Linked DNA regions of Macaca fascicularis. The protein of the gene in region 1 interacts with the protein of each later gene in a biochemical or structural test. Links are inferred from orthologs where the notes say so. Each region holds a gene or a part of one and is shown on either strand. Other genes may lie near its edges.

Region 1 (3,640 bases):
TCAGGAATGTGCAAATGATTTTATACAGCACGACGCTAGTACCGCTCTGTACGACAGTAAGGTTTTTTTTTTTCTTCTTTTCTAAATGGAAAGAAAATATCCCTAGTCAGAAATAAACTGACAAATTTACATTCTCCTCTCTTAAAAAAGTAAATAAAATAACATTATTCAAAATGTGAATTAGCTATAGACATACAATACAATTACATAGATACATATCAATACAGCACATTCAATCTGCCAAAAAATTAATGATTACAAAGCCAGTATGGATGCTGCAATATCAAGAGAGATGTATGTACAATGATTAGAGCATTTGTAATTGCACTATACCTACAGGCAGTCTGCTTGTTACATTACAGGTGCTTTCTGAGCAAGGGAAAAAAAGTAACCTGTGTTGTTTGAGGCTGGGAGAATCAAGAATGAGAATATTTCATTACTGTTTGGTGGCTTTGGTACTCATCTAACAGGCCGTTAGTTTTCTCCCTCCCCCTTTGTTGTTCCAAAAGAGTGATTTATATGGAAGTTTAGACTAGTGCCAAATACCACTATAGTTAAAATGAGACCAGTCTCATGGCCTAATTCTAACGTCCCAGCAGCTTTAAACAATCGTGATTTATTTTCTTAAATTTCAACTCAAGCTGCTTGACAGAAGCTCGTCAATACGTGTGCTGTATTTTTTTGCATTTGCTGAAAAATTGCACATATAGAATTCCAAACATTTCTCCTAGTAGGTTCAGTTACACAAATACATGTTCTATAGAACACTGAGAGGTTACTTTTGAGTTAAGTCCACAAATCTTCTGTAAGTTCAACCTAATCAGTTACCAGTTCAAGAAGATCTTGAAGGTGGTTAACCAGCAGGAACTTCAGATTTTGGAAATTAAAGGTGTCAGAATAATACTATCAACCAATGTTCCTGGCAGACTTAATTGAACTTAAAGAACCATTGAGAGTAAAACTGGTTTCAAATAAAGAGACATAAACAGATTTCCTGTTAAACCACACAGGATACTTTTTACATTGCCGGTTTGGACACTGAACATGGGACGTGAACACTAACAATGTCATCTTAAGGACAAATAAAAGAATGGACCGTGAGAATCAAATTTACAGTTACCAACTGTTTGGCAATTGGCATTTCTGGTTCATTCTCAGCCAGTCATTTTAGGCTTCACAGTCTTACTCTCTTACATTTTAAGATACCAGCTTTTATTTTTTGAGTTCTTATTCATTTTATTTGAAAAAAAGCCAGCTTTGGCAACACATTCCCATAATAAAAGTCATTTTAAAATTGTGGCCCCCAAACACTAAGAAAAAAAAGGAAGGAAAAGCTTAAACAACAACAACAAAAAAATTAAGAACAACCTATAAAAAGGTTCTGGGTAGCAGCCATTAGGGTAATGTAGTGTCTGTTGGCATCTTTTTTGGCATCTGCAATTGAAAGAGAGGGTGAAAAAAAGAAAAAGAAGCAAAGAAGGGAGGAAAGACAATGGCACGTAGCATTTCAAAAGAAAGGACTCCTGTGTGTCTTTGATCCTGCCTTCTGCACATTTCTCTGAGCAATCAAGCTATGGCTGAAGGTAAACATCTAAAAGAAATGACACTTACTGTTAGACGGGCATCCATTGTCCCAGTCCAAAGTGAGACAAGACAGTACATTCTATTAAAAAAGAAACTATGTATGTATACAGAGCAACACATTTAAAACCATAGTATTAATACATGTAATCCTTCAGCAAAAACTACAAACTTAAATTAAGCTGATGATGGCTTAAATCGAACGATGTGTCCTGACTGTATCATTTGAGAGAAAAACTTGACCAAGAATGGAACTAGGATAAAGGTCATTGTATCTTGGGAAAAAAATCAGGAGGGAAGTATAAATTAGGGGGGGAAAAAAAAAGGAAATCAGCTTTGTTTTGCTCCATAGAAAAGAAAAAGAGAGAAAGAGAGAAAAGAAACAAGTCTTATCTTTGTGAGTGCATGACTGAGAATTTAAAATACATTGAGTCACAAGGTTTTGCCTAAAAAAAAGATAGAGAGGAAATGTGCTGGGACTGTACTTCAGCATCCTCTGTTTTTCCTCTGAATAGTTTAAATAAAATCATAATATTTACTACAAACTCTGTGGACACGCTCACACAGAGTCCAGGACGGCAATAAATTAGTATTATGCAAATTGTTTTCCACAGAAATACAGTCCCTCTTGTGTATCTTCAATAGCCCACCAGGGAAGGGCAGGGCGGGTGTCTAGGAGGCACAATTAGACCAGATTGTACTCCTTCAGGTTCAACTGGAGGATGGTGTCCTTGACGGCAGCAAAGACAAAGCGGATGTTCTCGGTGTCTGTCGCGCATGTGAAGTGGGAGTAGATAATTTTGTCACTGTCTGGGTTCAGGTCCACGAACATCTTCAGAATGAATTCTCGGGCTGCCTGGGCATCTCTCTGGGGTCCTTTTGGCCAAGAGACAAGAGGGACACTGTTACCTAATCTGCTAATGTACTCAATTATCATTCGTTCAATAAATACTGTGTCATTGCTCATGAAGCCTACATCTGCACTGCAGATTTGATCTGTTATAATCATTTTCCCTAACACTACTATGTCTGACCATCCACCCACCCACCCACGTACCCACCCATTCACAAACTGTGTATAGGTGAAAGCAGACAGATGACTTGAAGGCCAAGGTTAAGTCTATTTCTTAGCTTGGCCTTCACTCTGATTCCCTGAGTGACTGGGAGCCACTGTAGGCTCTTCATCAGGGGAGTGATAGCTTACTTCTGTTCAACTGAGTTAATTATGCTTGTTTCAGCTATTTAATAAGTGTGCACAAAGACACAGCCTCCTTGGGCTCTCCTGTCAATCTGTCCTCCAAACGACTCAACATTATGGATCATTTTACATCTTCCAGACTGACAATCCCTCTTAGAATAAAACACCTGTTTGTAAGGTCAGCTCTGTCTACAGTGGGCCTCGGTAGTCTCACTTCCATAGATTTCTGGTATTTATGAGCACACTACATTTGTGTAGCATTCAGTTCATTTGTGATGATAAAACAATTGGTTTATCTTTTTTTGAGATACAGTCTCACCATGTTGCCCAGGCAAGAGTGCAGCGATGAGATCTCGGCTCACTGCAACCTCTGCCTCCCAGGTTCAAGCGATTCTCTTGCCTCAGTCTGCTGAGCAGCTGGGATTACAGGTGCCTGCCATCATGCTTAGCTAAATTTTTGTATTTTTAGTAGAGACAAGGTTTTGCCATGTTGGCCAGGCTGTTCTCAAACTCCTAATCTCAGGTGATGCACCCGCCTTGGCCTCCCAAAGTGCTGGGATTACAGGTGTCAGCCACTGCACTCGGCCTGTATTTTCTCACATTGATTTAGGAAGGAGTCTCTTATGTGCCAGGAATTGTCCTAGATGCTTTGAAAAAGAATTGTGATATATCTAGCAAGATAAACTAAAAACGTAATTTTGCAATGGATTCTTAGATATGACACCACAGCCAGGTCATATTTTTCACAAAAGAAAAAATAAATTGGACTTCATCAAAATTAAAAACCTTATGTATCCAAGGACTATTTTTTTTTTTTTTTGACAGGGTCTTGCTCTGCTACCCAGGCTACAGTGTAGTGGC
Region 2 (3,917 bases), on another chromosome or scaffold:
TTGCTACACATGGAATCATGCTCGTGTCCGGCTTCTTTTACTAAGCTTAAAGTCGCGATTCATCCCTGCCCTTGCATGCCCACTCATTTTTATTGTGGAATAGTATTCCAATGTTTGGGCATACCACAGTTTGTTTATCCATTCACCCGTTGATTGACATATGTGGGCTACTAAGAAGAAAGTTATTCACATCACTTTACAAATCCCTGTGGACTTGCATTTTAATTTCTCTTGCACAAATACCTAGGAGTGGAATTTCTAGGTTGTATGATAAGTAAATATCTTACTTTATTAGAAACTGTTCTCCAAAGTGGCTTTACTATTTTATATTCCCTCCAGCAATGAACGAGAGTTCCAGTTGCTCCACATCCTTTCAAGCATTTGGTATTATCAGTCTTTAAAATTTTATCCATTCTGGTTCCCCTCTTTCCCTTCTTCCCTCCCTCCCGTGCTTGAATTGAGAAATGTTTGTGGAAGGAGTGAAGACAAACATTCCTGGACCTACGTTCCTAAATGAGCAAGTTTCTATTAGTAAGACTCTCCCCGACCCGCTTCACATCCTACATACTCAAGGAGAGGCGCGGGAGAGGGGATCCTCTTTCTTCCTTGGAAAATAAAACCTTTGCTTTCTTTAGGGTGGTCTTTCTATCTCAAAAGCGCAAAGTAACCGTTTGCCCAGGTTTCAAGATCAGCGCGCTGCAAACTCTCAGCCGTGGCGAGGTTTCCTCAAAGAGCCTCTCAGCTGCGCTCGTCTCTGCTGATAAATGATAATTCTTTTCTCAAAAAAGCTGGTTTGTGGCCGGCGCTGGAGTGCTCCAGCTACAGTTGAAAGCTGCGGGTTGCCTCCGGTTCCTCCGAATGGGTCCCTTTTCCCACCCGGTTGGGATCCAAAGACGCTCCGGAACTCGAGCCCAAGTTCCCAAGAAAACCCCAAAGAGCGTAAGGCTCCTGGGGACCCCTAACACCCCTGCAACCAGGGCACCAGGCATGCTCAGAGCGAATGCGGGAGGCAGGCGTTGGCTGCAATGGGGCTCAGGAGCCAGGAGGTGCCGCTGCATCCCCGCTTCCTGGCGCCTGACCCAGCGTGCAAAGTTGGGCTGGGAGCCGCGGGGGGAAGGAAGGACCCAGCGAGCGAGGGTGGCGGGGAAGGGGGTGGGGGGAGGAGGAAGGAGGAGGGAAAAGAGCGCGGAGCGGGGGCGCCGGGCGTGTGTCACTCTCTCTCTCCCTCTGTGTATAGAGGATGTGCTGAATGGTGCGCTTTGAGGCGGCGGCGGCGGAGGAGCAGAATCCGCCGCGACTGGCAGCCTCGGCTGCCCGGCTCGGCTTCTCTTCGCCTTCCGAGGCTCCTCATCCACCGCGGGTTCCCGACCTCGCGTCCCGCCTGGGGCATGGCCCGGCGCTGCGCCCCCGCGCGCTCTGCCTGCTGAGCGGCGCCGGAGGGAGGTGCGGAGGCCGGGAGGCCGGGGAGGCCGGCGGGGGAGAAGAGTCGAGCGCCTCAGGAGCAGAGAAAGGAGCCCGCGCCCCGCGCCCCGCGCGCGGTTCCCAGTCCCTGCCGCGCTCGCCCGGGCCGCCCGGAGCCCAGATGAGCCCAGATGGCCGGGGCTCAACCCGGAGTGCACGCCTTGCAACTCAAGCCCGTGTGCGTGTCCGACAGCCTCAAGAAGGGCATCAAATTCGTCAAGTGGGATGATGTAAGTATTGGGGCGGCCCGAGTCGGGGCGCTGGCTCGGGCACCGGGCAGGGCGGGCGTCGTGGGGGTGGGGCGAGGGGCGCGTTATGCAATGGGCGCACTGGGAGCGGGCAGGGGCCGCCTCGGGCGCACAGGTTGGCATCTGCCAAAGCGGATGTCCAAGGGCAGAAGCTTTGCGCGCGCTCCTGTTTTATCGGGCTTTAGTAGTTGCCATCCTTTCTGGGTCTGGCAAGCGCCCCCTGAGGGTCTTAAATCTTTTGGGCCAGTGGAGAGGGAGGGGCAAGCTTTGCCTGGTGACAGGTCCTGAAAGTTCGCGAAGTAGGGAGTGTGAAGTTGAGACCAACTGGAAAGCGCCTGGTGTGAACAAGTCGCGTCCCTCTCTGCCTGCGGACGCACCCCCTATTACCTCTTTTGCCCGATTTCAAGAAGGAAGGGCCTGAAGTCCACAACACTTAGTGATTGCGAACCCTCTTAGCGCTTTTGTGGGAGCCCACGCGGCGGAGGACACAACGGTCCAGCCAACAGGTGGTCGTTGATGCCAAACTTCAGCGCCTGGCTCCGGAGTGAGGGTCCCTGAAAAGGGCTGCGGGGACACATCTGGGGAGGGCGTGAACAGAATGGGGGCCCTTGAGGGGTCCTGGAGGACTCACGGGCCTGCAGGCAAGTGGAGAGGGCTGACTTTTGAGAACTGAGCTGATTGGAGTCTTCTGCCTGAAATAGACACGTTGAGGGGTTGCCCCAGGACTTACCTGCACCATTTGCCAGGTAGGGCAGAGCCTAGCCCAGCGCCAGGGTCTCTAATGCTTTACGTGCAGCCCAGACCCCAGGACTTCAAATGACTTCCCCTTCCCCTTTACCCCAGTTGTCTTCAAAACACATAAATTAGTCATCCAGCTGAAAACATGCGAATCTTCTGATGGAGAGCATTATGGCATCAATTTTATGTCCTGGGTGTCATTCAAAAGGTTCGATAAGAAAAACCTACCGAAATAAATCCGAGTTGCCAGGTTCTAAGGAAATTTAAGTCCAAATGACTAATACATCTCTTAATCAGAAGGAATTATAGGAGAATGAGGCGTTCTTCTTGCCGAAAAGATTTTCCACCTAGTAAATTATAGCCTGTTATTCTCTAGGGTATTTTTCTTTAATCTTCTTAAGCCATTTTCCAGTGTCTGAAAACAATTTAAATATTCCAGGTAGTGAATCCAATTACTTAGCTGAGTGCGTCTGTGTCTATATTTTGTCCAGCTGGAAGCGCAAATGGAACTTGGAGTATGAACCACAGCTTCCTTGAAAGCTCATGCCAATTATTAAATGCTGTAGGCAAGGATGTAAACATACATCTTTTTTACCATGGGCTTCACACTTTTCTTCTTTCTGTTCCAGTCTAATTGGACTGAATGTTTTTGTAAATGGAATAGAATCTAAACAATAAATTCAGACGCAGATTAAATTCTTTGTGTCAGGGGAAAAAAAAAAAAGACAAAGAAAATGCAGTTCAGCAATAAATAAGACAGTCTTGCCCATTTTGAGATCCTTGAATAGAGAGGTGATGTGATGACGGATTTACTGAGAAAGAGAGTGAAGGGCAGAAGGAAGAGAAAGAGACTTTGCAGAATTTAAAAAGGGAGTTTCAGCATAAGCTCTGGATTTATATACAGTGATGATTCTAAACTGTATTTTAAATAATTCTCTATAATTTCTTGTTTTGGAGAAAATAGCCAACATCACGTTGAGAATGAAAGTATTCTATGAAAACACATTTTGATATATCCAGGTAGATGACTTTCATTATGTACCTTTCTGTAACACGTATTTCTTGCTCACCTATTATTGCCAATCCTAGACTGGATCTTGGGGTGGTGAAAAAGTAGACAAAATCCCTGCTGTTGTGGACCTTACATGCTAGGTGGAGGAGACAAAAATCATCAAAACACCAATGAGAGAGAGATTGGGTGATGCATTGAGGGTAATAGAGAGGATGTTCGTGAAATACCAACCAAAGAAGAAGTTGAAAAGAGCTCCCTCTGAGCATTGCAGCAATGAGTTTCCAAGGAAGCCCTCCTGGAAGGAAAGACGTAGGCACTAAGGAGAAGGCCAGTAGAATCTCAGGTGTTTTTTTTTTTTTTTTTTTAAAACAACAAAACAAAACAAAAAAAACCTAGACTGCACTCAGGAGTCAAGTTATCTGGAATATAATGAGCTATACTGCAGGCTCTTTGGTTCT

What was found.
Region 2: the proteins of GNAQ (region 1) and PLCB1 form a complex in vitro, tested with the Homo sapiens proteins (2 studies listed by BioGRID, with this or other methods). The link is inferred for Macaca fascicularis from reciprocal best matches to the Homo sapiens genes GNAQ and PLCB1.

Annotation. Positions count from the first base shown.
Region 1 is NC_088389.1:108,365,256-108,368,895, forward strand, and holds part of GNAQ (guanine nucleotide-binding protein G(q) subunit alpha), read right to left. Parts: intron 2,458-3,640; coding exon 2,267-2,457; 3' UTR 1-2,266.
Region 2 is NC_088384.1:79,171,939-79,175,855, reverse strand, and holds the start of PLCB1 (1-phosphatidylinositol 4,5-bisphosphate phosphodiesterase beta-1), read left to right. Parts: upstream 1-1,205; 5' UTR 1,206-1,592; coding exon 1,593-1,691; intron 1,692-3,917.